3 linked regions of the Stegostoma tigrinum genome follow. The protein of the gene in region 3 interacts with the protein of the main gene of each other region in a pairwise test. Links are inferred from orthologs where the notes say so. Each region holds a gene or a part of one and is shown on either strand. Other genes may lie near its edges.

Region 1 (7,886 bases), on a different chromosome or scaffold from region 3:
TGTGATCTTTTCCTGAAATATGTATCACGTCAGTTGATATGCATTTTGTGAAATCACAAGCATATTACGCATATAAAACTATCTATTGTAGCCTAGTTGCCCGATTTCTGCTGATGCTCCAAAGGTTACCGCAAGAAACTGCTTTTTTTGGTAATTGAATATTTAAGGAGCAAAAGCTGTTTGTAAACGGCGGTTTTGAGTTTGAGTCGAGTTCGTCAGTGACAATAGGATTAACTTTGGAAGCTGATCGTCCTGTAAAACATCACCAATGTCGAAATTAACCTGATACCACAAATCGGACTGAGGGGAGACTTGGATCATTTCGGGATTGTTTCATTCGATTCTCCATATTTTGTTTTCGTTATTTTTTCCTGCTTGCAGTGAAGAAGAGGAACGACGCAGAGTTGTCCTGTTGCTTTTTACAGGTTCAATGTTGAAACCTTGCATTTCCCCCCACCTCCCCCTCTGTTTAAAATATCTACCATGGACTTCCTTTACCGACAGTGTAAAGAAAGCAGATGGACTCCCGAAACTTAGACAAACACTAATTGTTTGCATCTCGCTTTTTGATGAAGGTGCAGATCAAAATGAGTCAGACCTTTTTTTGAGATCGTTACATTTTCCGTTACCGTTTGGTGAAACGGACTCCTTCTGAATCCACCGAGTGATCGTAATCTGGTATACACTTATTACCGTTGTTCAGCATTTGCCTTCGAGTTGGATCACAGATGAAATACAGTGTGTGTCCGTGTCAGGAAGAATACGTTTCAATTACTGGAGGGGGTGTCAGGAAGACCCCAGTCAGTCGAGTCAAATTTAAGGATCAGGAAGCCATGTTGGGAATTGCGGGCTAAGGATAGGGAGGTGGGAGAGGACATACGGATTACTAGGTTGATAAGAGTTCATTGTTGTTTGCAGACTATAAAAGGCTTGTTTTATTTAGTTATGCATTTTGACGTTGCCTGCTGCAGTATGTAAAGGCGCAGTAGCACTCAATCTTAAAATGGATTTAGTCTATTTCGCTCACCTGTCGACCATTCGGGTCAAAATTTCGTTATTACCCAGGTAGCTTTGCAAACACCCTTGTAGCAAAATTCTACTTCACTTAGTCATTCCTGCCAAATTGAATAAAACAGTTCTTTTTTTTAAAAAAAGGAAACTTTCGGCCGTTGCGTCCAACCCACTCGCATTGTCCAGGCATTCAATTTCTCAAATAATTTTAGTACGCGCCAGCCAGGTTCATGTCATTATTTAAACTGCATGAATAGGCAGGTTAATTAATTAAATTTCTGACAGGAGTCTTGCACCTCATGTTAAGAATGCTATCATTAAAGAGACCGCAGCTCTCAGATTTGCGAGCCTACATGTGTAAACCGCGTGGATGGCCACACTCAGAAACGGAACTCTCATTTACTTGAAGTCACCTAACGAGTCAGCACATTAATGCATTTGCAGAGATGTTTTGCCATGCTCTTTGCTTTCAAAAGGAAGTGGAAGATTGGAACCTTTGAAGACATTTGGAAAAATGCGATTTCCTTCTATCAAATCCAACTGAAGGTGAAAGACGACTGAAAAATATACAAGCTTCCTTAAAATACACTTTAAAAGAGCAATGTCGAGGCACCATGCAAACTGCAAATCGAGCAAACAGCTGGTTTGCCTTTCAGTAAAGTGAGATCATACAAAGAAATTTAAAATACGTAAAATAACATCTTAAACCCGCAGTATTGAACATGTTCTGTCAGCCAAGGAGGTATCTTCACCTACTTCTGACTCTTCAAAAAATCCGCAGTGTATACACAACGAACATCTTTGAACAAATGATCTGAATGCTAATTTCCATAGAATAAATGACATTTAATTGTGTCCAAATACTCTACACTTGTAATACAGTCTTGATGCTGCCATGTAAATTTCTACCAACTGAAGGCAATCAATTTCCACCCGACATAACACACTGTTCATTGCACCCACAGGGACTGTGAAACGTACAAAGGGGTACTGATTTGACATCTTTCATTCACACCGTAAAGCGAAGGACAAGTATTGCATATTTTATGGGCAAAATGCACCGAAATATAATTGTCCGATTTAAAAGGTAGACAAAAGCTTATCTATGTGTTTTGTTTACTTTATAACTCGACGCACTGTAACAAGTTATTAAAACAATAATAACAATAATGCGACAAAATGTGAGTTTTCATTTTGATATGAATAACTTTAATATTTAAGTAACAACTGAATCGACATTGTAAAACAGTCACAATTTTACACCCATTTCACTTTGGATACAACTTGCAACAGCATCTTAGAACAGCCAGGCATTGGACAGACAGAACTGTGGTAAGTCAGTGATGTCACCAAAATAAAAATTGACCCGTGTTCTACCTATTGCTTTCTTTCCTACTGCAATCACAGTGCAGAACTTTTAACACCGAGAAAGGAATAGATGAAACAGCCCCAACACCACGTTAACAATCAGTTAACTTCCGCTCGCTCTGACACCTATCCACAATTAAAACACAAAATAAACTCATCAAATGCTCGTGATGGAGGCCATTTGAACAATCTTGCGCTCTGGCGACGGGTCTGGCGGCACAGATTGATTCACGGATGAGCTCCTTTTGGAGAGTTGTGCAGTTTGAAGAGAGCAAGGTAACACCTGGCTCTGTTTTAGCGGCGCTTGCCTTTGCCGAGAGACAGATAAGGGGCAGCGCGACCTTTCCAGCGCTTCCTTGGAGAACCCTGGTCGGTTGCACGGTTTCAGAGCTCCCATCCCCTAATAGCAACGGGTTGCATCATTAGCAAAGCACTTTTCCCTGATAGTTCTCCTTTTAAAAGAAATCTGTTGAAACAGTCACTTCCTGCCATACTTGCCAACATATTGTTCCACCAGATCCACGGTGGGAACAAACACTACTTGCTTCTGTTTCCTTTCAAACACACACATTTATTTTAAACGCCTTTTGCTTCATTTAGGCCGATTTAAAAACGTGATAGAGTATCCTACCTTTAATACAAACGAGGACAAGCCTGAGCAAGGACTTCTTAAAGGTGAATTTGGAGCAATGAACATTCTCTCCTCACTGTAGCAAAACAAGCATTGCAACTGGTTGCATAAATCTCCAATAAGAACTCTTTTTTAAAATCGGGAACGCAGTGTCTTTTCGCCGTAAGTTGCCCAAGTGGGTCAGATTTGTCCTTCAGTCCCTCAATGCAACTTTCATAGTGAAAGTCAGGCTCGTTCGGACCACACGTAGTTGCGGAACCAAGACAGTGCAACGCGCATGAAGATCATTTTGCTGGAATGGTTCATTAGAAACCGCAAACCGTTGCTGAGAATGGAGGGTGTGAGGGAAGTTCCTAATAAATTATTTACTCTACAAAATGTGTATAAATAATGGTCTTTGTGAAAACCAGCAAGTCTGCAGGAAGTACGAGAGCGTGGTAAATTAAATGCCCAAACAGGCTGATAAATATCGTGAAGACAAAGGTGCAAATGCACGCATTAAAGCTGATTAGAAATAACCAGCAAGAGATCAAAATACGTACATGAACATGTATATGCAGATACAATGAGGCCAATATATGCACGTGTCCTCTGAGTTTACATCTTTAAACCGAATAATCCCGGATGTTCCTTTAACGATGAATAAGATTCAAATGCATTAGTTAATTGTAATGAAGATATGCAAAGGTTTGCACAGCTCATTTTCCAATCTTCCTGTATTTTGAGATATTCTAAAGAATAAAGAGAAAAAATCATTTTATTACAGCGCATTACAGTAGACGGGAAATGTAAACCTTGATTTTATTCCTCTTGACAAGTATTTAAGGCATTTTCATAGACGGTGTGTGCAATGGGTGTACGTTTGAAAGATAAAGGGTCAGGTAATACGGTTGGAGGGGTTGCACTTTCGATCTGTTTTCGCTGCGCTAAGGCTAGTTACCGTTTTAATGAAGGTATCCAGCCAGAAGCAGAAAGTTGATTTTTCTACCTGACTGAACCCATTCAACAAACAGAACGGAGAACCAATGGATCAATGTTTACTTTATTGGTGACTTCGGACTAAATCACGGAGACACGGCCGTAGACCTGAAGTGAATGATAAATTATATCAAGCAATTATTAGTTCTGGTGAATGTTTTCCCACTTAATGTCAGACTGTGGGACTTAATTGTGTGAATAATTGTTATATGAGGTCTGGTGTCTAATACTTCACACCAGATAAACATCACTTTCTTTACCCTGAAATACATGTGTACCACAAAGCACCCTTAGAAATATCAAAATAGGAAACACGCTGAGCAAAAATAATTCACTGACAGCGAGTTCCAGTGCTTGTTTAAAATGTACTATTCTTACAGTATACATGCAGCTTTGGAGTACACATAGAATCTGTCATTAAAATATCGCCACAGTGCGAGTTTGCAGAATTCGCTGCTCCCATTCATATGATATATAAGATATAGACTTTGAGACATATTTGCATATTCATATATTTATATAATGATGACTGAATCCATTATGCTGCCATCAACACTAATCTGAGTCAGAACTATGAAAACTTTATGGACTCATTACTTGCAATGTTGCTTTAGGATAAATGGCCTTATAAGGGAAATAACGCGAGGCCACTCTTTTCTTAAAGGGGCATTGTAACATTGGCAAAAGAAAATAATTTTTCAGCATTCACTGAGTGCTTCCGCACTTTCTGTATGTCACAACACGGCGTTTCTTTAACAGGAGGAGATTGGGTTGGTGGGGATAGGGTGGGGTTGGAGGTGGCGGTCATATCTAACCAGAAGGAAATCTCCACTTGAAGCGAGAACGGCGCTAGGCCTGGCGTGAAGTGCAGCCCTTGTGTTTGCACAGGGTGTCATTGCGTCACGCAGGCGCCTGGTCCAATCAGCGTTGGCCTGACACTGATATTAAGGGGGAAAGTTTGTGTTTGAACGAAAAGCCGTCCCATAGTCCCGGTGACATTTAAACTCTGAGCGAGAGCCCAATGTGAAAAAAAGAGACCAAAACCTCCCACCGTTCTTATACACTGACCGGACCCGGGAAACCAAAGTGAAAGTGTTGAATCGCCGATGTACGACTTGATTCAGGTACGAGAGTTCCAGCTTCGTCCTCACCTTACAGCTGCAGTCTGCTTCTGGCTTCTTCTAATAACCTTCTCTCCCTCCTTTCCTTTATTTATTTTGAGTGTGCAGAATATCTGTTTCGATCGCCTATTTCTGTGTTATCCTTTCCACCTCTGTAACATGCTCGTTGTACACTTCGGTGTTTTGTTTTCTGTACGCCTGATATAAGCTCCGTTTACATGAAATATTTAGAGATCGTCTTTCGGAATTGTTCTAGCAATCACACTTACTGCTGGTGTTGCGACGGACAGAGTGCAAATATTAATTACATCAGGCGAATATCATTCTAAAATTTGCGGCTGCACCAAGCTGCAAGTGCTGGGGCGCGGGAGAAGGGGAGTTAATTTGCTAGGATATAGGAAACACGGTCTGCGAGGTTCCAGCAAAGTTGATCTCAACATCTGGTAACAGGTGGTACGGGAACAGACCAAACCTTTTTGTTGTTGTAGTTGACAACTGCCTCTCTGAAGCGGGGGTGGCGAGGAGTGGGTTGGGGGACGGCATTAAAAGACGATTTTTCAATCACCTCCAGCCACATCACACTCCTATCTGCGAGGGAGATTTGGGTGGCTTCGCTTTTCGAAGTTGCTTTCATTTTCCCCATTTAAAAAAGTGTCGAGTCTTAGGAAAGAGCTGCACGCAGGTTGGCAGCACTTTGAAATCCCAAGAACTCGTTTGATTTCTGCGGCCTTTTGGCGTCTAAGCAACAATCAAGGTAAAAAAAAATACAAGCAGCGGCTTCATGTTACATAAGCCCCTGTCACTTCCCTGTGCGTGTCAGGGGTTTGAATATGTCGGAGCGATTTTAGGGTTTTAGATACTTAACAGTTCACTGGTGAATTTCAAGCGCGGTCGTGTCGTATTAAGAATGCAATAACAACAAAAAAGGACATTTAAAGGAAACTTCTTCGAAGCGAAAGAATCTGCAGCTATGTTGAAGAAGAATTGTTCTCTTTTCACTAGCCAGGATAATTGCGCCGTAGACATCAACCTAGGACTACCTGTTTGGCAATCAAGGTTCAGACTTCACAACCTGAATTTGAAGAATCCTGTTCAACTTATGCTTTAGTTTGTTATTGGTCATTTATATAAAAGCATAACCCAACTCACCTTACGAGGTTTCACTTTGTTTGTTGTGTGTATTCCAGTTTCTCCTCCTCGTCGGAGGACCACAAATCATATTCCGGGCTAGCTATTGTGGCTATGTTAGGAGCTGGGGTCAGGTGAAGGTTCTACTGTACATGGGGCACACCGGTAGTGGACCATACCTTTGTAATAAATCAAGCGCCTTGTAACGCGGACCCTCCTCCCTCATTAGAGAGGTTTATCAGAGATACTGTTTATCCAGCTGTCATGTCGAGATAGGTCTGTAACATAATTGGCCTGACTAGAAGCCCTTTGCCCAACTAACCCCCACCCCTTCCAATGCAGACCAATGTGCATTTAAAGCCCATTGCATTTCGCCAGGAAGGTGTTTTTAAACTGAATCTCCCATTGACCTTTCGGGACATCTGATTGAGCAACATTTTCCGGCTATCAGTACAATTCACATGTGCAGAGATTTTAAAAATTGCTTAAACGGGGAGAGGGCAGGCTTCCGCATAGAGACGTGTTATCTAGTTTCTGTTCTTAATTTTGTTTTTGTCATAGAGCATGAGTGACTCTAGAAAACTAACAGGCGGGCACACCCAGCAAAGATTCTCTCTGAGTGTAGTCGAAAAATAATGGGGTATTATCTCAGTTCGTGTCGATATGATAGCTCAAAATATATTTTGTGTTCAGTACACAGATAGGCATAAAGTATCCGCCAGGCACAGACGCTGGGATAAGTTGTCAGAAATCGTGCATCTCTACATTCTACCGACTGGATTAGACAAGACGACTTTAAGTATTCTGTGGATTGTGAAAGGTACTTGGTAGCTTGGTTTGCTAATACAAGGAGACGAGGTCTGTTTCTGCGCTAGTGCGATTAATGAGTCAGACTTCTCAAGATGAGGAAGATTGTGCTTGTCTGTTGGGAGGGGTTGAAATTAAAACGTTAATTTTACAATTTATTAGCTCTTCTGAAACCGACAATATTCGCTGCTGCCTTCGGACAGGAAGTCCGCTAAAGCACGTCCCCTTGCAATAATACAGAATGCGAAAGGAACGTAAAGTGTGATTGTACTAAGACCAGTTCAAACGAATTGCACAGATGGTTTAATAAACTTTTTGACATTTTCGTTGTTCAGGGTTTCCTATAGCCTCTATGATCTGACACAACCTCTCTGTTACGTCTGTGCAAGTAAAGGAAGCGTGTTTTTGTAGGAATTGTTTAATCTGGGAGATTATTGCACGCTATTTTCTAGGCAGCAAGTGTTTTAATAGCACTATACTGCACCAACCTGTGCTAACGGTAACGATTAATATCATCAACTCACAGGCAAGAGATTCCTGGGGTGGAGCCATTGGTTCCTGCCATCCAATTCCTTATTGATTTTAAAAGCCAAAAACTAATCTCAGTTAGTAATGCTAAACAAAGTTGATTGGCTAACCTTAAAGCGAGAACAGCAGCCAGTGGTTTTAAATAGTTTTGATATCATGTTATGCTCCGTGAGGACATTGTAAAAGTGAACTTGTTTGCATCGAATTTGGCCTTTATTCGCCGGTTAGGGAAGAACGGAATATTTGATCTGCTAATTTTTTCAGTCCTGTTAGAGGAAGAAGAAACGTTTTATTTCGTCCGAGAGAGAAGAATA
Region 2 (8,060 bases), on a different chromosome or scaffold from region 3:
TACTTTGTCTTCCAGTCTGTCAATGCCTTGATTTTTACATTTTAGTCCTTCTTTTGAGTCCATCCATTGATTTGTTATTCCTGTTTATGTACTTTTCTCTGCCCCTGCAGCCCTCTGCTATCCTCCAATTCTGCTGTCATATACATCCCTGATTTGAATTGCTCTGTCTTTCCAAATGTACCTTCAGCCTCATAAACCCTCCAAACTGCCTTCCTAATCCATTCCCCTTTTAAGGTGCTCATTTAATTAAATGTCAAATTTGAGTAAGTTTTCTTGTAAACCTGTCCTGATGTTTAACAATATAGTCATTGATTTGATTTTGGGAAATGTAGGCAGCCAATTTCCATTATAATTTCAAGCAACCTGCATGAGAAGAAAAGTTTCTTGGATGGGTGATGTGAGATAACAAGGTGTAGAGCTGGATGAACACAGCAGGCCAAGCAGCATCAGAGGAGCAGAAGGCTGACGTTTCAGGTGTAGACCCTTCTTCAGAAATGGAGGAGGGTAAGGGGGTTCTGAAATAAAAAGGAAGAGAGGGTGAGGCAGATAGGAGATGGATAGAGGAGTAGATATATGGAGAGGAGACAGACCGGTCAAAGAGGCGGGTGTGGAGCCAGTAAAGGTGAGTGTAGGTGGAGAGTTAGGGAGGAAATAGGTCAGTCTAAGGAGGACGGACAGGTCAAGGGGGCGGGAAGAGGTTAGTAGGTAGAAGATCGGGTTGGGGCTTGAGGTGGGAGGAGACAATAGGTGGGAGGAAGGACAGGTTAGGGAGGCTGGGACAAGCTGGGCTGGTTTTTGGGATGTGGCATGGGGAGGGGAGATTTTGAAGCTTGTGAAGCCCACATTGATACCATTGGGCTCCAGGGTTCCCAAGTAGAATATGAGGTGCTGTTCCTGCAACCTTCGGGTGGCATTGTTGTGGCACTGCAGGAGGCCTAGGATGGACATGTCATCTGAGGAATGGGAGGAGGCATTGAAATGGTTCATGACTGGGAGGTGCAGTTGTTTAGTGCGAACCGAGCAAATGTATTCTGCAAAGTAGTCCCCAAGCCTCCGCTTGGTTTCCCCGATGTAGAGGAGGCCACAATGGGAATAGCAGACGCAGTGTATCACAGTAACAGATGTGCAGGTGAACATCTGCTTGATGTGGAAAGTCTTCTTGGGGCCTAGGATGGGGGTGAGGGAAGAGGTGTAGGGGCAGGCATAGCACTTCCTGCAGTTGCAGGGGAAAGTATCGGGTGTGGTGGAGGGGAGTGTGGAGCAAACAAGGGAGTCACGGAGGGAGTGGTCCCTCCAGAAAGCAGATAAGGGTAGGGAGGGGAAAATGTCTTTGGTGGTGGGGTCAGATTGCAGATGGCGGAAGTGTCAGAGGATGACTGGTGGGATCCGGAGGTTGGTGAGGTGGTACATGAGGATGAGGGGGATTCTGTTTTAGTTGTTCTTGTCAGGAGGGGGCGTGAGGGATGAGTTGTGAGAAATGTGGGAGACACGGTCTAGAGCATTGTCGACCACTAAGGTGGGAGAGTTGTAGTCCTTGAAAAATGAGGACATCTGAAATGTACGGGAGTGGAATGCCTCATCCTGGGAGCAGATGTGGCCGAAATGAAGGAATTAGGAATAGGGGATGGCATTTTTGCAGGAAGGTGGGCGGGAGGAGGTGTATTCTAGGTAGCTATGGGAGTCAGTAGGCTTGAAATGGATATCAATTTCCAGGTGGCTGCCAGAGATGGAGACAGAGGGGTCCAGGAAGGAGAGGGAGGTATCAGAGAAGGTCCAGGTGAACTTAAGATTGGGATGGAAGGTGTTGGTGAAGTGGGTGAACTGTTTGAGCTCCTCATGGTAACATGAGGCCGCACCAATACAGTCATCAATGTAACTGAGGAAGAGGTGGGGTGTAGGGCCAGTGTAGGTACGGAAGAGGGATAGTTCCACATAACCTACAAAGAGGCAGGCATAGCTTGGGCCCATGTGGGCACCCATGGCAACCCCCTTTGTCTGTAGGAAGTGGGAGGAATTGAAAGAGAAGTTGTTGAGGGTGAGGACAAGTTCAGTTAAACAGATGATTGTGTCAGTGGAAGGGGACTGGTTGGGTCTGTGGGACAGGAAGAAGCAGAAGGTCTTTAGGCCATCTATATGGGGAATTCAGGTGTATAGGGACTGGGTGTCCATGGTAAAGATGAGGTGTTGGGGACCAGGGAAGTGGATGTTTTGGAGGAGGTAGAGGGCATGGGTGGTGTCACGGACATTGGTAGGAAGTTCCTGGACTGAGCGGGAGAAAATGGAGTCAAAATAGTTGGAGATAAGTTTGGTGGGGCAGGAGCAGGTGGAAACAATGGGTCGACCAGGGCAGCCAGGTTTGTGGATTTTGGGAAAGAGATAGTGGGGTTGGGGAACCACGAGGTTGGAGGCTGTGGATGGGAGGTCACCTGAGGTGATGAGGCTGTGGATGGTTTGGGAGATGATGATTTGGTGGTTGGGGTAGGGTCATGATCAAGGAGGCGGGAGCAAGAGGTGTCAGAGAGCTGGCGCCTGGCCTCTTGAAGTGGTGATGTTGGTTCACAATTACAGGTAGTTCTGCTATAACGCATGTTTTGTTAATGCGAATTGGCTGTAACACGATTGATGAACTGTGGACGCTGTTTCCATAATGAGAACTTTCTGCAGTACAGTACAGTAATTCCCCAATAACGCGATTTTCTATGGCGATTTTCTTTAGCGTGAGGTCACACAAGAATCCAAGTATGGTGTTCTTGGAGAACTATCGCGTACATGTTCTTCAGGTCTGCAAGCGTTGTCCCCTAGCACACAAAAACGGCAACTGCTGGAGAAACGCAACAGGTCTGACAGCGTCTGTGGAGAGAAGGCAAAGTATTGGGTCACTGGACTCGAAGTGCAGCTTTGTTTTTCCTCCACGGATGCTGGCCGACCTAGTACATTCCTCCAGCATCTTCTGTTTTTGTGTGTTCCAGATCTCCAGCATCCGCGTTCTTTGTTTTATTTTACAGTCGGCCTCCATTCTATTTTGAAAAATAGCATAGTCGAGACCTCAGCTTCAACATCTCATTTGAAACATTGCACCTCTGCCAATGTAGCACTCCCTGAACCCTCCACTGAAAGCATCAACTTGGATAAAGTATGTTCCAATCTTTGGAAGGAACTGATGACATGCTGACTAAGACACAAAAGCACAATCAGTGAGCCAGGGTAACACCTAATTTGTGTTTCTCCATCACACAAAGTATTTACACATACATTTTGATAATTGCATTTCTACTCAAAACAACAGAGTGCTATAATTGATTTTAATGTTTATATACCACACAGACTATGGTTATACTGTAACTAAGAAATCTGCTTAGTAGGAAGATCAGCCAACAATGTAACGTGTGCAAACAAACTGAAAACTTGCATTCTGACTACTTAGGGAATGAAGCTGTGTATACTTGCACACGTGCGCAGAACTCCATTCTCTCTGCCAGTACATTTTTTAACAAACTCAAACAGAAGTATTCACTTCATAAAAACGAGTGTAGAAAATGTACTGGCGACGCAATGGAATACTTGGAGCATTTTTAAAACCTACTTACATGCCTTTGGGATTACATTTCGCTCTGTGTCCAATCCAAAACTTGCGGCTGAATGTCTCACAGCACCGGTTTGCACATTTTCTGCAGACAAATTGGGATTTGACTACAAGTGCTGTCTGCCAGTTGGATGACAGCGACACGCTAAACTTGCTTAATGGGTTGAAGACACGTAATGGTTTCAGCGTTAAAATTAAATTCACTAATTTATTGTAGAGCTGTGTAAAACAATAAAATTGTTCCAGTTGGGTGTTTATAAATAACGAAATGTTTACTGTTTTTCATGATGTAACAGTGTACCTCACAAAGGCCCACGGCACAATCACATAAACACTGGACCCCCACTAAACAATGTGAGAGCGTTTGGGGTGAATTTTACACCCAGGTGTGGCTGGTTTGTTGAGTTCCTTATTCCCATCCGATTAGTGCCTCCGTTCCAAGAAAGGCCCGCTCGCTACGTTGTACGTCCGGACAGTCAGTTCCCCTCCGCAATAGTAAACTCAGAGCGAACGGCCCTGTTTTATCACAGGGGATATGTGACGCGGTGAAATGCTTAGTGAAGGGCTGAAGGGTGAAATATGTATGTGATGCGCTTCTCTCTCTTGGAAATTGTGAAATGAATTAATTAATAATAAACAATTCGCCAGCTGTCACGACTGAATTTGCACCGAAGTGCGTCCTCTGGGCAATTAAATACCAAATAAAAACCGATGTCCTCTTTCTAGGAAAGTTAATGTACCTAATCCGCTTGTTTACAATGTAATCTCTTCTAAAAGATTATGAAAGCAACACTTTAGTTTATATTCCAACATAAACAGATGAAAGGTGCTCATAATTTGCCGAGGATCAAAGGGGCTTAGGACATGACTGTAGTAATTCTTATTGTGAGGGAGGGTCTTGTGCCAATGCCCCAATGGAAGCCAACGAGAGAGGGTGGTCGACCTTAAAGAAGCAGCTTCCTCTGCCTTTACCAACCGTTAGAATTGCACCCATTCTCTCCCAGTTATAACCACTGCCGAGCACAGAGCGCCGACTCATTCATTTGCCCTGAACGAAACAAACATGACATCCAGCTTCTTACATAACCTGTGCTGTGCTTGAGCGCACACACACAGCCCTGGCCCGAGGGTGGGAGGCCTGACGTCACCTGTCAGCCAGGGAGACAGCTGCCGAGGTTCAGGAACGGAACCAAACTCCGGATCGAGTGCAAAGCCAGCCGGCCTCCTGCACTGCGCTGGAACTATGCTTTCAATTCATGCGGAAACAGCATGTACCGAAGACAGCGAAAGCTGCAAGTCATGCACATAAATGGTGAGTCCCCTCGCTCCTAGCTCGCCCGCGTGAAGAATAGAATGGGGGAAATGAAAACACGTGCTTTTGTAAAAACGTTGCAATGTCGATAAATTCAGCTGCTCACCAGCATTTCAAACAGGATTCTCACAAAGACGAGCAGACCAAGGCAATATGATTAAAGGTCAGGTAAAAGCAGCCAGTCAGGCGTATTTATTCTTTACTGTTTGGTTTTCATTCTCTCCCGCCCGCTATGTTATTTCGAACCTTGCGCTTTCCCAGGGCATTTTGTTCGCTGACTGTGGGAATAGAGATTTTGAGGGGGCTTTTTTTTTCACTTAGAACTCTGACGTTGCGGCGGGGTTTGGGGTATTTTCTGTTATTTCACACCGCATAGAAGCCGTGTGAGGGAACCCGACAGTTCCTCTCGAATGCAGCACACCAAAAAGTTTGAAAATGTCATTTCAGCGCGGAAACCAGAAAAAAACTGCAGATGAGTTCCGAGGAAGTTAACTCGAATTTCTCTGCACAAGCGCTGCCAGACCTACTGAGCTTTCCCAGCAATTTCTGTTTTTGTTTCATTTCAGCACGATGTTTGTACATGATGGAGTGAAACCGAGTCCTGGTAGACAAGCGAGGAGTATAAATTAGTCCTCGCCTTCTATCTATTTGAAAAACTTTATAATCGGCTTTTTCTTACTTTACGGTATTTGTTTCTGACCGAATATAACTTCTTGATTTGAGATTTTAAACAATCGAAGTTTTGCTGTCGGGTTATAGAGAGAGAAGGCCCTTTCCTCAGCAGCAGCATTACAGACGCTCTCAGAATGGATCTCGACCCAACCTGCAGAGCGGTTGTTAGCGTGGTTCAACATGTTACTGCAGCGATAAAGTATAGAAAGCGAGCAAAAATAAATAACACGCATAGTTTTTAAATGAAATATGTCGCTATTGGGTTCGGGTAGATTACAGGCAGTCATAGATTCGCACTTGGAAACAAAACAAACCATAAACGCACGATGATAATTATACCTGGGGACAGATCCAACTCGAGAAAACGTTAAGTGACTGGAATCGAAGGCAACCCGGTCCCTAGAAGCTACTGGTAGAGAGATTTGTGTTTCCATCAAAGAACAAGAGAGTGTTCACGCTGGTTCTTTAATGTAAACAAACACTTACTACGTGTTGAGGTAAATAAAACTGTATTTGGCTATAGATTTTAGCAATAATGTAGGCTGTAATGTAAATGCATACGTGTGCGGAACAGCTTTTGGGTGGATAGTTTGCGACCGATAACTTTGTTTACAAAATTTATTTACAAGATTTGCAAGATCAAAATTAGTGGTTTTTATAAATTGGAAACAGAAATTGCCGGAAAAGCTCAGCAGCTTTTCTGCAGCAACTATGGAGAGTAATCAGAGTTAATATTTCGGATCCACTGACCCTTCGCACCCGCATTTCTTTGCTTTTTTTGTGTGTTTTTTATCTTCGGCAACCGAATGCCCCGGACTGGAACGTGAACACGATTTTATTTTCAGTCAGTCTGTGATTTCCTGTTAAGCTAAAGAATTTAGTATGTATCAGCATAACGGCTGTGTCCTAACTCAGTGCCCCTGTGAATGCCAAATGAAATCGAAAGTCCAGTTAAAAAGATAAGTTGGTGACAGTGGAACAGTATTTTCTTTGACAAATGTGATCCTGTGAAAGACAGACCTAGTGAATAATCGTTTAGTTTGTTTAGAGGCCTTACCTGCTGGATTGGCTTTGATTGCAATTACTTGCCCCAGTAGTACCTTTCTACTTCTACAATATAATGATTTGTTAACTGCAATCATTCAGATTCAAACATTGCAGTTAAACTAGCAAAGGTCATTTTCGTCCAACACCTGACTCACTTCACATAGCGAAAAAGGTAAAATGTCCTTCAGATTTTTCAAGACATCCACTTATACAGATTTAGTTTTTTTTGTTACTGAGCCCCGTCCAAATGCTCTCCGTGAACGTAATCTACCAACACCTTACAAGAGACAACCTTGAAAACTGGCTTACCTTGAACTGTGTGGTGCAATAGTCGCCCGTAGGTATGATGTCGAACAACCTTTAAAAGTAGCAATGGGGAGCAATGCGATTTGATCTTTGTACAATGTTCCTGGGCCAGTTCCTAGACACCTGATCGCTGGCAGAGATGAAAATCTTACGAGAGAAGGCCGTACGGGTACGTGTTCGGAGGCGGCGGTATTTAAGAGTGCAGATTTGCACAGAGCAAACCTAAGATAATTTCCAATACGAAATGTTACTCTGTCCAAATCATTTATCATTGCCGAAACCTGATCAATAACAGTTATAGATTGAAATATTTGAGTGAAATTCTTCGGCGTGTTAACGTTGCTCATATAAAGAACTTCAGTATTCTTTGGAGGCTAATCATTACAAATTAATAGATGTCATCCCGAGACCTTTGCTATTTTCTACAGATCTGGCTACATCGTTTGTGTGATGTTGGTGAATTATTTCACGCAGTTTTTCTAATGGATGAAATGTGTATCCAGAATTGAAGTGTCGGGCACAAAGTGGGCACTATGAGCCCGGATGGAACCTCTTTATTTAAAAAAAAGTTTATACACTGTATTGTGAGAAGCAATCAAGTTTCTCCTTACATGGCCTCTGCCAGAGGATTGATTCTCCCTCTACCAACTCAGGACGGAAACGAATGGGAAGCGGGGTGGGGATATGTCAGGAAAATCCTGAAATCTGATCGCCGCCCTTTGCAGAGAGTTCTGCTGATCGTAGTATTTAAGACCATAATTGGAACGATTTGTATGTGGAGTCACAACACGGCCAATTTGAAAATTTTCTCCTTTGGGAATAGATAAATGTTTCAAATACGCTAGTGCTATCTTTTCGTCGGCAAAGGGGAAGCAAACTGTACTTGGGCGAACATGTGTATTCGTTAATATAATCAACAAGCAATGCTATCCGATGAAGAAAAAGGATTTGACAAGCAAATTGCTGACAGAATCAGTGTGTCCCTTGCGCCAAGATTCCGCATCTCGCTTGTCAATGGCAACTCAAACATATAAGGGTCAATGGCTTGACTACTGAACTGATTTGTTAATTAGCTACGAGCGTTAATTTTAGGGAATAAAGAATTTAGATTTTTTTCTGAAATTTGCATTACTCAGGGTG
Region 3 (7,286 bases):
ACTAAATGCAAGAGAACAGGGACTGGAGAAAGAGATCACCGAGCTGTTCTCCTACGATCAAGACAGCCAAGACTGGAATTAACCCAGTGTAAACCCACCAACGTGCACACCAGAGAAAAGGCATTGAAGGACAAAGGTGTGGATGGTCATTTCAACAATTATACAGAGGTCAAGGAAGGAAAATGCATCACAGTTTGTGGATGTAATTAGCTAATTTGTAAAAAGCTGTCCCAGTGCTGCAGTAAAGACAGAATACAGATTCAAGCATGTACTGCAAGAAAGAAGAACAGAGATTTGGGAAACAGCATGATCTAGGACCTCAGAGGAAGACTGCAGGTAAATGATTTGGAAAAGGAGGCATAGATGGGGGTACGATGGTGAGGGTGGAGGGACAGGGTGAAGTGGCCTTTTAAGGACCGAGCAGATGATAAACATTTTAAAAAGAGGGAAGCATGTATAGTGTCTCTTTGCATTATACCAGCAAGGGAAGCTGATTGGTTTGAGGTTGAATGATAAGGCAATTGCAAATAGTGGAATTCAGCCCGAGACAGTTGATGGGGAAGCAACAGAATACATGCCAAGAGTGTGGCACTTCTAGCATGATAAAGATAAAGCTTCAGACTTCCTAATGTCAAACCAGAGGAAATTTTAACTCATCTAAAATTAGATATTTTTGTATTCCCTCAGTGACCGGCAGACCTACGCACCAAAACTTGTTGCTGCTATGACATTGGCTTCAGGTATAGCATCAACTCCTGCATGCCTTCAGCACCCAGATCATCAGGTTCACCTCACTGCTTCTCTCATCTTCTGGAAAAATGTCTTAAAAATCAACGTCCGAAAAATTTAACTCACCAACCACTGACTTACCATAGTTTTCTGTTACTCCAATAGCATAGGAATAATTTCTGTAAAGTCATAAATACAATGTGTATTTTTTTCTAAATTGTCTAGTTAAACAGACATGAAAAGCTGCAGATGTATTTCAAAAGAGGTAACTTTGAAGGGATTACTATTTTAAAAAAAACTTGGATTTCTAAAAACAATTTCAGCAATGCAGCTTCCGGATATTCCTTCTAGTAAAACTTTATTGGCTCAGGGAGAAAGCAAAGGTGACTTAAAACTACAAACAACAAAAGCAAAGCTGCCGGAAAAGCTCTGCAGGTCTGGCAGCATCTGTAAAGGAAAAAACAGAGTTAACATTTCAGGTCCAGTGACCCTTTCTCAGAACTGGACCTGAAACATTAACTCTGATTGTTCCTTCACAGATGCTGCCAGACCTGCAGAGCTTTTCCAGCAACTTTGTTTTTGTTCCTGATTCACAGCATCTGCAGTTCTTTTGGTCATCACTTAAACTCGGTTCATAGGTCAAACACAGTTCTGAGCTGAGCTTATGGATCAGAGAAGAAGTTCAAAGAAGGTGAAGAAGAATCATGCTAAGGGAAGATCATCTTTCAGGAGGTCTATACATTTTAAGAATGGAATTTAAGTGCAAAGAAGAGACCAAAAACTCTGTTCTGACCTAATTACACTTTGCCTGTTCTAAATCAGACTGCCCTGACCTCATTCTCACATTGGTTAAACCTCCCACAGCCAAGATTCTGTTTCCCAAGCACTGTTATTGACAAGTCAGCTTCAACTCAATAACTCATGAGCATAATACAAAATAGTTGAAAAGGATTGATTTACATAGCACTTGTTACTGAAGTCATAAATAATCCCATACAATAAAATAACATAGGCATGCATTATAAAAGATCACTTTCATAAAAGGACCTTGATATGTCAACAAGTAGCTCTATGTTCAAAACATTAAACATCCATGCAGACTTCATGTATGATGTCACTTAAAAAAATGCATTCCCCCTCAGGCTAAATAAAGCAAGCTAAGTGTTTCTTGCTCCATTCTGAAATCAAACAATATCAGCCTTAGATATTTACAAACAAACAGATTTGTGAAACAAAATATAACAAGCGATTCAAAGTTAACATGTTAACCCCATTCATACATCAGAAGTTTAGCTCCAATAATTGTGTCAAAGGTAACTGTAGTTGATGGTGCCATTTAATAATTTTTTAAAAAAATTTACAATCTGGCTACAACGGGTACACTTTCTTTATTACTAACTAGACAAAAAGACAATTTTCTAATATTGTTACATTTACGGCTCAGTATTAATGGAACTAGGTATACACATGCCTGGTAATGATTTTGAAGTACCTACAAGCTACGAGTTCACAGAACACAATTAGGATGATGAAAGGTAACGTGTTACAAATAAACGAAACTGATATATAGTCTTACCTTTTCGACGTTTGCTACTGAGTAATCTAAATTATCTTCGCTCTCTCCTCTTTCGCGATCCATTTTTAGTGCTGGGAGGGAAGAATATTACAGCCTATTGTTGCTTTTCCCTTTCAGTTTACCAGCAGCCCTATCGTGATGGAGGTGGAAGGGGGGGGTTGGGGGGAAAAGGGGAGGGGTTGATGACAGTCAGGATGACCCTGTACCAGTTTTCGCTTCCCTCCACCTCAGAATGATAGCCTAAGCAGACCTCCTTCTTTGTGCGCCCTTTCCCTCCTTGGCCAGCTCTCTTTAAATTAACTGGGAGCGCTGCATCGTCCGCCCTGAATGAATCACAACGTGGACGATAACAATGGCGATTGCTCGGAGAGGTGGTGAGTGGCTACACACACTGACTTGCTCTTCTGCTTTGAATTTCTCGCAGACACCTCAGGGCCTGCGCTGACAGATCCAAGGGGTCCTAGCGGCATCAAGGGTGGTTGCTCAGGCGCCGTTTCCAAAGGAACGACTAAAATAAATAAATCAGCAACTGTACCCCTACAACCAGAATTATCTTTTCGTTTTTGACAATAAGGGGAAGGACATAAACAAATAAAGGACTTGCACTTGTTAACTGGCCCTAGGGACCATTTGAAAATCAGTGTTTTAACCTAGCTGGCGGCACTACACAGAAGCGCATACGCATTTTGCCAACCAGCAGACTGGATGATGTCGTTGTCTTCTCTGCCGTCGAGCATTCTGGGTAATGTAGTCCTCAGTCCCACCACCACCGTTCAACGCAATGTAATTTCCCAACTGCCACCTTCCTCCGCACCTGATACAACAGTACTTCATTTCCCAAGGAGCATTGCGCAAACACTCCGCAAACTCACCGCAAGGCAGAGAAGATCCCACGTGCCCAGATTGCTGCCGCATTGATTGGGTAGCCAGGTTGATCAATTAGCACTTGTGTGTTCAGGTTCATGCGGGACGGGATGTACTGCTCTAAGCTGCGTCTTTGACGCCGTTATTAAAATAGGCGAAGAGCAACTACGTTTATATAGTCCATTTGTTTTAGGGAAACGCCTTAAACAGCCTCCCAGAGGATTAACCAAGCAAAACAAAAAATGGATTCGAGACAAAGTGAGGAATAAATGTTCAAGGGTCGAAACGTGTTTTTTTTAAACGAATGACTTTTATTTTTACAATTCACCGCCGCTAATTCTATCACTCAATCCGATATACTTTTCCGTCAAATAGCTCTGCTGTCGTCTAAGGGTAATAGTGTCCCTATCATTTTTCCCTAGAAAAGCATATGTATATTTACACTTATTGTACTATTGATAAAGGAGGTATTCTTATAGATGCCATTTCCAGACACACAGAATTCATTTTCAAGCGTGAACTTTCACATATAAGAATATACGTTCACTTTAAAAGCATGCATGGCAGTACCTACTTCACGTCAATAATAAAATACAAACCTGCATTTATTTCAGATATAGCCATGCATACATGAATGTGCACACAAAAATCCCACAATCCTTCTTCTTCCAATTATCAACAGCATTCTTTCCTTTAACAGATTAAGTCAAAGTGCTCCTGAATTTGCTGATTTTTAAAAATGTGTGAGCATTGTCATTGGTTATGCTTATCATACAAGGCATCGCATTCTGGCTTGCTGGAGCTCTTTGTGAATATTGTTTCCTTTCCTCACAGTGATTCCAAAGTTTCTTTGAGCACATGCATATCCGAATTGCATTGTATTTAGGATTGAGAGTGGGTCAAAAACTAACTACATTCTAACTGTTTAGCTAACTTCTGATTCAGTATCAATTCCAAAATATCATGTACTTTGGATGTGTTCATCAATCATTTGATTTAGTTGCAAGTTTATATGCTGTTAGTCAAAATAATGTGGTAAAGGTGTTTTGAGTTGATTCACAATGTTCCACTATAGAGTCATAGAGCTGTACAACATGGAAACAGACCTCATCCATGCTGACCAGATATCCTAAATTAATCTAGTCCTATTTTCCAGCATTTGACGCCTATCCCTCTAAACCCTTCCTATTCATATACGCATCCAGAGAGATGCCTTTTAAAGGTTGTGGTTTTACCAGCCTCCACTACTTTCTCTGGCAGCTCATTCCATATACACACCACCCTCTGTGTGAAAACGTTGCCCCTTAAGTCTCTTTTAAGTATTTTCCCCTCACATATAGCAGCCTCCTGGCTGCTAAAACACAGATTGCCAACTTGGCCAAACAGCAAGGAGTATGGAGGAGTGATAATGGGAACTGCAGATGCTGGAGAATCCCTGATAACAAAGTGTGGAGCTGGATGAACACAACAGGCCAAGCAGCATCTCAGGAGCACAAAAGCTGACGTTTCGGGCCTAGACCCAGAGATGAAGGGTCTCTGATCTCTGATGAAGGGTCTAGGCCCGAAACGTCAGCTTTTGTGCTCCTGAGATGCTGCTTGGCCTGCTGTGTTCATCCAGCTCCAAACTTTGTTAGCAGGGATATGGAGGACACTGGTCAAATGAAACTGTGAAATCACAAAACCCATATACCTCACACAGTACAAACACAGCATCCAGATGCTAATGATATTAGCATAATGTAAAAGCCAACAGTCTGCACAGACACCCCAACAATTTAGCCAAATAAAGGGCAGCCCAGACAGAAAGACACTGAGTCCTGCTACACAAAGTAACTTGACAGTCGCAGGCCATCTAAATGATTGACTGAGTGGAGCTGGAGGAACACAGCAGGCCAGACAACATCTGAGGAGCAGAAAAGTTGACATTTCAGTTCAGCAGCCTTTTTTAGAACTGGGGAGGGGAAAGGGAGCTCAGAAGTAAACAGAGAGAGGAGGGGTGGGTCTGGGGAAGGTAGGTGAGATGGTGATAGGTGAGTGTAGGTAGGGGTGGTGGGGATTGGTCAGTGGGATGAAAACGGGGGTGGGGAGATTTTAAAGGTAGTGAAAATCCATGTTTAGGCTTTCAGCTGTAGGCTCCAGAAGTGGAATATGAGGTGCTGTTCTTTCAATTTCTGGGTCGTGTCACTGTGACACTGGAGGAGGCCCAGGATGGACATGTCACCCAGGGAATGGGACGGGGAGGTAAAATCGTTGTCCTTTGTCATGCACAGAGCGCAGATGCTCGACAAAACAATCTCCAAGTCTCTGCTTCGTCTCACAGCTGTAGAGGAGGCCACATTGGGAACAGCAGATGCATCATTCTGCCTCGGGAGTCTGCAGACCGATGGCCTAAACATGGATTTCACCAGTTTTAAAATATTCCCAACCCTGGCCTCATCCCATGTCCAACCTTCCCTCTCATCCCAGCCTCCTTGACCTGACACAACCTGTCCATCTTCTCTGCCACCTATCCACCCTTTCCACCTCAATGACCAATCCCCACCACTCCCTAACTGTATTCACCTATCAACATCCCACTTACCTTCCCCAGCCTCATCCCTTTCTCTATTTATTTCTCAGCTCCCGTCTCTCTCCCCTTTCTGAAGGGTCCTGACCCGAAATGTCAAGTTTCCTGCCCCTCCAATGCTGTCTGGCCTGCTGTGTTCCTCCAGCTCCATACTGTGTTGTCTCTGACAAGAGCATCTGCAGTTCTTGCTATCTCTAAATGACTGACTTGTGTTTCGAACTATTAAGTGCATCTCCCTGATTGGTCAGAACTCAAAGTTCCAGAAAAACATCTAAAATGAATAAAAACAGAGTTCATCTGCAGACTTCTCTCTCGGAACCATCCGAGGCCTTCGAAGCAGACCAGAAAGGCTGGAGGCAGAGATCAGCTGATCAGACAGAGGGAGGAAGAAGAGAGATAACAAGGTGTAAAGCTGGATGAACACAGCAGGCCAAGCAGCATCAGAGAAGCAGGAAAGATGACATTTCAGGCCGAGACCCTTCTTGAGTTCTAGAGATCAAGCCGCAGGGAGAGCAACTGTGTAAATTTATAAGATACTGAGGAAGTATTGTAACTGTTAGCGACCAAAAAGGATTGGGATAGTATGTTTATTATTAATGAAGGAAGGAATGTTTTGCTCCGGTACTGGCTTGTGTTCATATTAATTTGACTGCTTTGGTATTGTGGGACACCTGGGCAAATTCATTCATAAACTTCTCGTTGGAATTGTCTGCAACTTGTTTAAAGAGGAACCAGACAAAACACCTTAAACCTACACCTTCTAATTTTGGACTTCGCCCTCATGCCCCTCATGATTTTATAAACTTCTATAGGGTCACCCCTCAGCCGCCAATGCTCCAGGGAAAACAGCCCTAGCCTATTCAGTTTCTCCCTGTAACTGAAACCCTCCAACCCTGGCAATATCCCTGTAAATCTTTTCTGAACCCTTTTAAGTTTCACAACATCCTATAGCAGGTAGATTAGAATTAGACGCAGTATTCCAAAAGTGGCCTGACAAAGTCCTGTACAGCTGTAACATGACCTGTCAACTCCTATACTCAATGGGACTGACCAAGAAAAGCAAGTATATCAAACACCTTCTTCTCAATCCTGTCTACTTGCAACTCCACTTTCAAGGAACTATGAACCTGCATCCCAAGGTCTCTTTGTTCAGTGACACTCCCTGGGGCCTTACTATTAAGTGTATAAGTTCTGCCCTGATTTGTTTTTCCAAAATGCAGGACCTCAAATTTATCTAAATTAAACTCCATCTGTCACTCCTCAGCTCATCTGAGATAACCGTCTTCACCATCCACTACACCACCAATTTTGGTGGCATCTGCAAACTTACTAACCATCCCTTCTATGTTCACATCGGAATCATTTATATAATTGACAAAAATCAGTGGACCAGCACCAAACTTTGTGGCACAGGCCTCCAGTCTGAAAAGGAACCCTTCACCACCATCCTTGGCCGAGAGCCTTTGCGTCAGTTCTGTATCCAAATGACTACTTCTCTTTGTCTTCCACGTGATCCGACCTTGTTAACCAGTCTACCATGGAGAACCTTGT

What was found.
Region 1: the proteins of ipo13b (region 3) and paired box protein Pax-6 interact in a two-hybrid assay, tested with the Homo sapiens proteins (2 studies listed by BioGRID and IntAct). The link is inferred for Stegostoma tigrinum from reciprocal best matches to the Homo sapiens genes IPO13 and PAX6.
Region 2: the proteins of ipo13b (region 3) and pitx1 interact in binary tests that used the Homo sapiens proteins (3 or more experiments, as listed by UniProt). The link is inferred for Stegostoma tigrinum from reciprocal best matches to the Homo sapiens genes IPO13 and PITX1.

What each region holds. Positions count from the first base shown.
Region 1 is NC_081370.1:42,718,465-42,726,350, reverse strand, and holds the start of paired box protein Pax-6, read left to right. Parts: upstream 1-4,844; 5' UTR 4,845-5,094; coding exon 5,095-5,112; intron 5,113-6,930; coding exon 6,931-7,057; intron 7,058-7,886. UniProt on the Homo sapiens protein: Transcription factor with important functions in the development of the eye, nose, central nervous system and pancreas. Required for the differentiation of pancreatic islet alpha cells.
Region 2 is NC_081366.1:31,311,179-31,319,238, reverse strand, and holds the start of pitx1 (pituitary homeobox 1), read left to right. Parts: upstream 1-5,033; 5' UTR 5,034-5,048; coding exon 5,049-5,063; intron 5,064-8,060. UniProt on the Homo sapiens protein: Sequence-specific transcription factor that binds gene promoters and activates their transcription. May play a role in the development of anterior structures, and in particular, the brain and facies and in specifying the identity or structure of hindlimb.
Region 3 is NC_081361.1:64,764,370-64,771,655, reverse strand, and holds the start of ipo13b (importin-13), read right to left. Parts: upstream 3,029-7,286; 5' UTR 2,369-3,028; coding exon 2,306-2,368; intron 1-2,305. UniProt on the Homo sapiens protein: Functions in nuclear protein import as nuclear transport receptor. Serves as receptor for nuclear localization signals (NLS) in cargo substrates.